3 linked regions of the Macaca mulatta genome follow. The protein of the gene in region 2 interacts with the protein of the main gene of each other region in a pairwise test. Links are inferred from orthologs where the notes say so. Each region holds a gene or a part of one and is shown on either strand. Other genes may lie near its edges. The genes, in order: SS18L1, RFX6 and FRS3.

Region 1 (3,652 bases), on a different chromosome or scaffold from region 2:
GCTGTCCCAGGAGAAGGAGGTCCAGCTTTTCAAACCCAGGCATGTGTGGATGAACTCGATACTAGCAGAGTTCCGAACGCTCACCCAGACACTCACTATGCCGTCTCCGTCTGGGCCTGGTGCTCGGAGGTCACCTGGCTGTTGGGCCTGGTGCTCTGCGGTCACCTGGCTGTGACAATGGCTGTTGATTACGAACATGGACCAGGTGGCCATGACATGTGGCAGCACATCTCAGGCGCCCTCTCATCCCTGGCCTGGCTTGTGGAGGTCGCTCTCCGTGAATTAACCGTTTTCCCTGGAAACTTCCTGTTGCCTGCAGCCGCCCACGCAGAACATGAACCTGGGCCCTGGAGCCCTGACTCAGAGTGGCTCCAGCCAGGGCCTGCACTCCCAGGGCAGCCTGAGTGACGCCATCAGCACGGGCCTGCCACCCTCCTCCCTCCTGCAGGGCCAGATTGGCAACGGTGAGTGCGGCGGGGGAGGAGGGCATTCCTGGTCACAAGGCCACCAAGGCAGCCCTTGGGCAGGCAGCTGCCATGGTGGGGCACCCCACCCGTCACAGGGCTGGGCATGGGGACCCACTCTTCCTGGGGTAGCCACAGGTCAGCTGCCATCGCCCAGGCTCAGGGCCGCAGCGAGCTTGCCATGTGGCTGGGATGAGCCCTTGCTCCAGATCGCCTGCTCTTTCTGACACTGTCATACTCCATTCATTTCAAATGCAAGTTGCCAGGTTCCAGGTGGATTGTGTAATAACAATGGAATGCTCCTGTCTTTGAATTAAGAAGCATGAGTAACGTTTGGAGACTATTAATAGTAATATAACAGGCCGGGCATGGTGGCTCAGACCTTTAATCCCAACCCTCTGTAAGTCCTAAACCAGCAGATTGCTTGAGGCCAGGAATTTGAGACCAGCCTGGGCAATATGGCAAAACCTCGTCTCTGTAAAAAATAAAAATATTAGCTGGGTGTGATGGTGCCCACGCGTGGTCCAAACTGCTTAATACTTGGGAGGCTGAGGAGGGGGAGTCACTTGAGCTTGGGAGGGTGAGGCTGAAGTGAGCCGTGTTCATGCCACTGCCCTGCAGCCTGGGTGACAGAGCCGGACCCTGTCTCAGAAAATAACAAAATAACAACAAATAAACAGTGCATGCTGTACATTGCTAGCATGTATGCTGCTTTTTTTTCTTTCTTTTTTTTTTTTTTTTTGTTTTGAGACAGAGTCTCGCTCTAGTCGGCCAGGCTAGAGTGCAATGGGCATGATCTTGGCTCTCTGCAACCTTCGCCTTCTGGGTTAAAGCAATTCTCCTGCCTCAGCCTCCTGAGTAGCTGGAATTATAGGCACCTGCCACCACACCTGGCTAATTTTTTTGTATTTTCAGTAGAGACGGGGTTTCACCATGTTGTCCAGGCTGGTTTCGAACTCTTGACCTCAGGTGATCCACCCACCTCAGCCTCCCAGACTGCTGGGATTTCAGGCATGAGCCACTGCACCAGGCCACTTATTTCTTTTTTAGTCACTTAATCATTAATAGTGATGTTGATAGAATCTCTTCCCAAAATCATTTGAAGGGAAATTGGGGCATCTTCACCTTCAGAAGTGGTGACCTGGCTCCCCAGCGCCTGACACCACTCCCTGCTCCCCCTGCCAGGGCCGAGCCATGTGTCCATGCAGCAGACGGCGCCTAACACGCTACCCACCACCTCCATGAGCATCTCGGGGCCTGGCTACAGCCACGCGGGGCCCGCCTCACAGGGCGTCCCCATGCAGGGGCAAGGCACCATCGGCAACTACGTGTCTCGGACCAACATCAACATGCAGTCCAACCCAGGTACCTCCTCTGCCTCTGCAACCCCGGGGGGCCTGGGCCTGCCTCCAAGACCCTTGACACATGCATGTTGGATATGTGTCCCTGGGGAGCTGCCCTCTTGCTGGGTGCTGCGGGAGAGGGGCCCGTGAATCAGGGCTGGCCGCCGCCTCTGAGAGCTTCCGGAGGGATGGGCACCAGTGGGTGCACAGCCAACCCCTCCTGTCCCCCAGCTTTGCGAAGGGTTGGAGTGTTTCCCATGGAGTCTCAGGGAATGCTTCAGGGAGCGGGGGCCACTGGCCTTGGGTCTGGACAGAGCACTGGGCTCTCAGAGGTGGGGGTAGAGTTGTTCCCCAGGGAGGGAACAGCCTGGCTAGAGGCACCTCAGTGGAGAAGACAAGGGGCCAGAAGCGCTGGGCCAGAGGCCCCAGCCTTTCTGCAGGGCAGCAGGAGCCCGAGAATGGGGCCATCCGCCATGGTGGCCACGTGTGGTGTTGGGCAGTTGAGAAGCAGCAGGTCCCCATCACGTTCCATGAGCATCGGCCCCGGTCGCGTTTCGTGGGCGTCGGTCCTGGTTGAGTTTCTTGAGTGTTGGAGACACATGGACTTCAGAGGCTTACTGCCAAAAAAGGGTGCCGAGGACCTCCTTAGGATTTTCTCACAATAACTGAGTATTAAGCGTTTGTCTTGGACATACTGACTCAAATAAAATGCACGATTAAAATGGATTTCACCTGTTTGTTTTTACTTTTTTGATGTGGTTACTAGAAACTTTAAAAAGTGTGGCTCGTGTCATTTCTGTTGGATGGCGCTTCGCTAGGGGCTTCTGAGCAGGGGACGTGTACGACAGGCCAGCGTGAAGGGCCGCGAGGTTGCACAGGTGCTAATGAGGGGACAGTGTGATCCCTGAGGCCAGCTCAAGGGACCAGGGAGAACAGGACTAGGGAGGGGACAGTGTGACCCCTGAGGCCAGCTCAAGGGACCAGGGAGAACAGGACTAGGGAGGGGACAGTATGACCCCTGAGGCCAGCTCAAGGGACCAGGGAGAACAGGACTAGGGAGGGGACAGTGTGACCCCTGAGGCCAGCTCAAGGGACTGGGGAGAACAGGACTCGAGCCACGGCGCAAGTGGGGTTGTCACGGGAGCTGTGTGTCCGAGGAGAGGTGGAAAGGTGGTGGTTGGCTGTGGAAGCCACTGGATCTTCCTGCCCAGGGGCTCTCCCTGTTTTCTGCACGTCGGCACATTTTCAAATAGTCGGTGTAAGCAGCGGGTCTGAGCATGCAGGGCGTCAGTGCAGGCCTTTCAGGGGAGGGTGGCGTTCTCGTGCGGAGCACAGGAAAATAACGAGGAACCTGCCTGGGCGCAGGAGGTAGTTGGGTGTGGGAGGGAGGGAGGGAGGCTTCCCGGGGTGATGTGGGGCCTCTGTCCTGTCGTGCAGTCTCCATGATGCAGCAGCAGGCGGCCACGTCGCACTACAGCTCGGCTCAGGGCGGCAGCCAGCACTACCAGGGCCAGTCGTCCATCGCCATGATGGGGCAGGGCAGCCAGGGGAGCAGCATGATGGGGCAGCGGCCTATGGCGCCCTACCGGCCCTCCCAGCAAGGTAACGCCCGGCCAGGCCAGGTCTCGGGCACGGCTGACCGCCCCGGGTGGTGAAGTGCCAGGCTGTGTGCTTGTCTGTGGGGAGCCTGGGGGAGTGAGGCTTGGGGCCTTGGTGTGGACACTGGGGGTGCGGGCTGGGGTGTGGCCCGCGGAGGGTCTGCTGTCCCCGAGGAGTCAGGGTTGGGGGCAGGGGCGGCAGTTGTCATTAAGAGTGTCACAGGCCGGGCTCATGCCTGTAGTCCCA
Region 2 (2,392 bases):
TCTCATGGTGAGAAAACTTCCTGAAGTGGAATTTTCTGCTTCATTAGAGTAACCTAGAAGCAATGACCATTTGCAGATAGCAGGAGATGAGCTGCTAGATTCTGCTCAGGGAGCATGTGTGACAGTGACAGGAAGAGAAGGAGTACTTCCTATTGAATTATTGGAAAGGTACACTGAGTGAGGAGAGATGAAATTGATTCCATTTTCCCTTATGCTCTAGTTGTGTGTCAATGCCCTTTACTTATGCTAGTCTGAAATCAATTTCATTGGAAGATTTTAACCATCTCATATAAATATTAACACTCTGCCTTGATACTTAGTGAATATATATTTGCCCTGTGAAATCTTATTAGTAATTTTAGAAGCTAAATCTATAGTGACTAAACCTATGTTATTACTAATAACATACTAATTATACTAATTATTTATAGACTATACATATATATATATATATATATATATATATATATATAGTTTTTATTCCTTTTTTCACTCACTCACTTATTGAGTTTCTACTATGTGGCAGACATTTTGTTAGGTGCTGGTGATGCAACTAGTACCAGTTGCAGAATTTCTTCATAGACAAGGATTAAGAAAGGTAACCTGGTTGGAAGAAGATTCCAGGAGGCTTCATGGCAAGCACACTGTTTTTCTTATTTTTACTCACATGATATGTCAGAGAGCAATAAAAATAGCAACATTTTCTCGAGGTGTTGAATCACATTTTAAATAAGAATGAGAGAATGCTAGTAGCACCCATCACAGGACACCAGTTCTTTTAAATCTTGGAGTGATTTTTGGATACTTATGGAGATCATGAGACCTAAAGATACCTCTTGCCACTACAACTGGGTCCAACACTAATCAAGAGTGAGAAAAAGATATTATTACTGCCCTTTTAAAACTTACAGTTTTAGACTGCATTTGACAGGTCATATTAATTTTTTGCCTCCTTAATAGATACCAGCTATTTTTTGGTAAAACATAACAGATCTAGCAGTAGGTTGCATAATAGAGATATACACAATAAGAAATGAAAACCTGTTACTGTGTAGTCAGATACAAAAAATATAACTTTAGATCCAAAGTAATAATAATAAATCAACCGTGGGAACATGCTTGCTCAATTCACCTCAGCATATCTCCCTCAAGTAATGCTGCATACCTGAGGTCAACGACTTCTTAAAATGTTTCCAAGAACTACTAAAATAATTTACCTAGGACTGGAGTTCGACATGCAGCTGGAGATGATGTGTCTGTGTAAAACGAGCTGGTCTGTTTTCTACCACTGTCATCTAAAATGTTAAGTGGATCGTGGATGTCACTGTAGGGGGGCAGTGAGCGAACACTGCTGATGACGGAAACGTGCTGATTCACCATTGATCCCAGCCTATGAGACTCTGGGTAGTTTATGTTGCTTCCATAGTATCCTGTAACAGAAAATGTTGAGAATTTGCTGTTAACTTACTACAAAGAACTTTCAGAAAGCAAAAAGGTGACAAAGTAATTAGGTGATGTGCTAAAGATATCAAACTGCAAGTATTACATGTGTATCTATCTATATATGCTACAGAACTGGATTTGCGCTTGTATATAGATAAGGTTTACTGTGCTGTTTTTTTGTTTTTAATACGTAAGAATTGTAGCATCATACATAATTTAATATAATAATTATAGCATAATACATAATAATTGTATTAACTTTAAGACCAGATTACACCTCTGTCAGATTTCCCTTACCTAAATTAACAAGAGCTACCTACTAAGAAAGAAAAAAGCACTATCACCTGTCACAAAAATACTACTTTCATGTATAGATGCATATTTAGGGGAGACAAAGACTGGCCTACCCTTAGGAGAAAGACACCAAAGATGTCTACACACAAAGCCTATTTTGGTGACTCAAGGTCACAGGTCTCTCCAGTTCCCTTAACTTCCAATTTTTATTGGCCCGTTTTGGACCCAATCTTTAAAATCTGCTTTTAGTTATCTGGAAGAAATATTATCCACTAAAAATGTTTTCAAAAGACAGAACCTTCCTCCTTGGGGCTGTTAAGGTAGATCTCAAACATATGATATTACCTATCTTTCTTTTTTCTTTTTTTTTTTTTGTAACATGTGTGGTATTTAGGAGGACAACTTCAGGCCAGGGGTGGTGGCTCACACCTTTGGGAGGCACCTCAGCATTTTGGGAAGCCAAGGAGAGAGGACTGCTTAAAGTTGGTAGTTTGAGATCAGCCTGGGCAAACATAGCAAGACTTCAACTTCAGAAAAAATTTAAAATTTAGACAGGGATGGTGATGCATGCCTGTAATCCCAGCTACTTGGGAAGCTGAGATAGGAGGATTGCTTGAGCTCAGGGGTTTGAGGCTGCAGTGAATCACGATCCTGC
Region 3 (3,752 bases), about 120 Mb from region 2:
GGAGCTGGACATCCCCAACCCCCGCTGCCCTGAAGGGCAGAGCCCGAGAGGACTTAGGGCTTGGGGAGGTGGAGGGATGGGAAGATTTCTGGGGACAGTGGGAGGGAGAAGGAAGGGGAGTGCCCGGTCCCGCCGAGTGCCCTCTCGGTAGATCCCCAAAGCTTTTCTAGAACTTGGCGGGCCCGCCTCCGGGGCTGGGACGCGGAGTTTCCCGAGTCCGCTGGGCTTCCGGGTCTGGCTGCTGGGATTTTAGGGGAGTGGACCAGGACTTGGCTGGGGTCTCACCATCGCTGTGCGTCGCTGTCCGGGCAGTTCTGGACCGACTCTGCCGTCAGGCCCCTCACCCAGACCCCACCCGAAGGCGTCAGCGCCCGCCCCCGTCCGCCCCCGCCGGCCCCCGCCCTCACTAACAGCGCGGCCCTTCCTCTCCCACGCCCCAGGGGTCCCCGCTCGCCCCTCCCCTGCTGGTGGAGAGGGGCGGCTCAGGGAGGGGCCTGGAGCTGCAGATTGGGGGCGGGGGGGAAAGCAAAACAAAACCACATTTGTGGGATCTCAGGGTGGAAATGTGCGGGCTCCACGGCCTCTGCCATGCAGGTGCAGGGGCTCAGGCTGGGACTGCGCCCGGCGGGCATCCAGTAGACGCCGGGAGCCGCGTTTACGCTGGGTTCTCAACCACTCGCTGAATGGAAACGACTCGCCGGGCGCGCAGCCCTGTCCCTCTGCAGTTCCCAGGTCTCCCCAAACTCTCCCTCTGGTCTCCCAGCCCCGCCCCTCCGCGTGTTTCCCTTCAGTTCTCTCCCCCTTGTCTCCAGTGGTCCCCCTGGCCCCTTCCCCTCCCCTCAGCCCTCTTCCGGGTTACATCGTCTTGCCTGTCTCCCTTCAGGTCCCTTCAGACCCTCTCCCCTTCCCTTCGTTTCTCGCCCAACCCTCCATCCCCTTTTCGCTCGCTGCAGCACCCCCAACTTTGGTGTCCTCAGCCCCGCCTCTGCGCCCCGCCTCCGCCGCAGGCTCCGCCCTTCCCCCCCGCCGGGCTTTCTCAGCCCCTGGCCAGGAGCGCCCTCTAGCGTCTGCGCATGCTCACTGCTCCCGACTGCAAAGTCCTCCAAAGGGACCTTCTAGGCTGCGTGCCGGTCGCCCCCGCTCGGGTCCGCCCGCCCGCAGCGTCTCGTTGGTGCTGCCGGTGACCTCCGACCCCGCGGCCGCGGGGCGGGGCGGGGCGGGGAGGCCTTAGCTCTGGGCGGGCGGCGGCTGCTGCAGCGGGACCCGGGAGCGGGGCCCGGCGCCGCCCGGGCCGCGGGGCGATGTGAGTCGGGGCGCGGCGGGGCGGGGACGAGGCGGCTTCACCGAGGCCGCGTCGCGCCGCGCCGCAGTCTCCACTCCCTCCCTAGGAAGCCCCGGGCAGGCGGGCGGCGGAGCACCGGGGCTGGGGGCGGGGATCCGGGGAGAGCGCGCACCCAGACCTCTTCATTCCTTACGGGCGTCTAGAAATTCCCCTGACAGTCCTGCAGACTCTGGCTCCCCTAACCCACCTCTACCCTTTCCGCCCTGGACACACCATCGCATCTCCTGGAGCCCTCAGAACCCCCTCACTCGCTCAGCAAATCTGCTATGCGCACGGACCCAACATTTCTCTTGGATGCCCCCAAATGCTTCCACTGCCCGGAAATTCCTAGGATCCCTCATATCCGTATTCTCCTTGCACTATCCAAAATGCCCACATCCAAAATTCTTGCTCATGTTTCCCCAAACGTCCTCATACGTTTTCAGCCCCCACACCCCATCTAACTCCTGCCCCTGATCATACCTATCCAAGACCAGAGGCCTCTCGCCATTTCCACTCAATGCAGTCCTTCCTCAGTGAGCTATGTGGTCCATCCTGATATCTTAAGGAGAAGAGATGGTGATAGGGAAGTGCAACCCCTCCCCCATCTTGCACCCTAGAGTTCTTGGTGCCCCCACCCTCCCCCCACCCCGTCTGTGGCTCAAGCCCCAGTATTTTCCCAGCAACCTGTCTTTAGTCCTTGCACACCTCCCTGAGCCTGCTTCTTCCTTCCAGAAAATAAGCCAGACCAAGGGGATGGGGTCCTTTTACCTGGAAGTTGTCCAAGGTTGCAGGGTGCAAGGGGCCCTGGGAAGTATTGTTTCTCCAGAGCAGGAATGTGGAATGTCCAGGGGTCTGCAGGGTCCTGGCTTGTTGACGTGTTTACCTTGGGCTCAGAGGCCCTGAAATTTTGGCTTACTGTTAACATTTATGTTGAAATTAGACCTTTCAGAGCTTGGGGAGCAGAAAATCTATCAAGCTTCCAAATGCGAAATTGAAGCAGCCTGTCTTGGAAGAGGAACATGTCAATTTTAGTGATGTTTGTCTTACATTTTTGCCTTACAAGTTATTTAAGCTAGAAGCTCCCCAGTTTATAGATGGTTTCCCCAAAAACTAAGACCTTAGGTGGGAGTTGGGGGGTTGACTTAAGTCTCCCAGATACTTAGTAGCAACAAAACTGACCGGAATATTGGTTTCCTGAATCTTAAACCAGTGCTCTCTCTACTATATCACAGTGTCCTTTTGAGAAAGCTCTTTGTAGAGTTAAAGTTCTCTGCAAAGGTAAGGTGATGGTTTTGATGTTTGTTGTAACAGGACTCAGAGGGAGACACCTAAAGTGACTTAAAAGGCCTTGGCCAGGCGTGGTGGCTCACACCTGTAATCCCAGCACTTTGGGAGGCTGTGGCGGGTGGATCACAAGGTCAGGAGATCAAGACCATCCTGGCTAAGATGGGGAAACCCTGTCTCTACTAAAAAAAAAAACAAAAAAATTAGCCGGGCGTGGTGGCGGACGCCTGTAGTCCCAGCTACTGGGGAGGCTGAGGCAGGAGAATGGCGTGAACCCAGGAGGCAGAGCTTGCAGTGAGCTGCGATCGCGCCACTGCACTCCAGCCTGGGTGACAGAGTGAGACTCCGTCTCAAAAAAAAAAAAAAAGAAAGGCTTTGGGTTGTCTTAGACTTCAAACTCATTGATGCTCTGGGAGTCTGTCCCTCTCAGGGCCCATGGGGCTTGGAATTTGTGCTCTCTTTGCCCTTGATTTTACTTTCTTCATTGGTGTTTTTGTCCCATTAGGGCTGAAACACATATCCAGGTGGGATGGACTGCCAGGTCAGTTTAATTAACAGTTGGGGGTGAAGATAGAAGGTTTTATTAATCAGTGTCTCTGTTTCCTATGCTAGGTGAGCCCCAGGTGTATCCCAGAGGGATCCAGGTGACTTCTCTGCAGACTGTTTGCCATGACAGCCCAGCAAGGACAGGGGGAATAAAGTGGGAACCCTTCCCCATGCCCTTCCCAATGGCCTGGGTGAGGTAAGAGCTGTGTATAGGAGTCAGTTTTATGGCGTTTCCCAAGTTGGGAGGAACAGAGGATACAGGTCACCTGGTTATTCAAAGCTTTACCATTCAGCAGGAGTTCTAGAAGGATAGCCAATCCTACAGACTCATTTCTTGTGACAAGTTGCAACCCCTTAAAACTTCTGCTTGGTATTGGTCCATGCGTTTCTTGTTCCCTTAGGTCATTCAGGCCTGGGTGGTGTCCTCTTCATTCTAGGCACAGCCCTGACTGTTGTGACATATCATCCAAGTACCAGAATCCTGGAGGGAAGAGCCAAATAGTAACGCCTCTGGTCTCCCCTTCAGACAAAGGGAAGCAAACCCAGCATTTTGTGTGTGTGAAGAAATATCCAATTCAGGTTATTAAAATTGTGCACA

Evidence for each region.
Region 1: the proteins of RFX6 (region 2) and SS18L1 interact in binary tests that used the Homo sapiens proteins (3 or more experiments, as listed by UniProt). The two-hybrid records come from large-scale screens. The link is inferred for Macaca mulatta from reciprocal best matches to the Homo sapiens genes RFX6 and SS18L1.
Region 3: the proteins of RFX6 (region 2) and FRS3 interact in binary tests that used the Homo sapiens proteins (3 or more experiments, as listed by UniProt). The two-hybrid records come from large-scale screens. The link is inferred for Macaca mulatta from reciprocal best matches to the Homo sapiens genes RFX6 and FRS3.

The regions. Positions count from the first base shown.
Region 1 is NC_133415.1:114,953,659-114,957,310, forward strand, and holds part of SS18L1 (calcium-responsive transactivator), read left to right. Parts: intron 1-319; coding exon 320-464; intron 465-1,649; coding exon 1,650-1,829; intron 1,830-3,244; coding exon 3,245-3,409; intron 3,410-3,652. UniProt on the Homo sapiens protein: Transcriptional activator which is required for calcium-dependent dendritic growth and branching in cortical neurons. Recruits CREB-binding protein (CREBBP) to nuclear bodies.
Region 2 is NC_133409.1:21,955,471-21,957,862, reverse strand, and holds part of RFX6 (DNA-binding protein RFX6), read right to left. Parts: intron 1,431-2,392; coding exon 1,218-1,430; intron 1-1,217. UniProt on the Homo sapiens protein: Transcription factor required to direct islet cell differentiation during endocrine pancreas development. Specifically required for the differentiation of 4 of the 5 islet cell types and for the production of insulin.
Region 3 is NC_133409.1:140,394,479-140,398,230, forward strand, and holds the start of FRS3 (fibroblast growth factor receptor substrate 3), read left to right. Parts: upstream 1-1,272; 5' UTR 1,273-1,303; intron 1,304-3,220; 5' UTR 3,221-3,350; intron 3,351-3,591; exon of another isoform or gene 3,592-3,733; intron 3,734-3,752. UniProt on the Homo sapiens protein: Adapter protein that links FGF and NGF receptors to downstream signaling pathways. Involved in the activation of MAP kinases. Down-regulates ERK2 signaling by interfering with the phosphorylation and nuclear translocation of ERK2.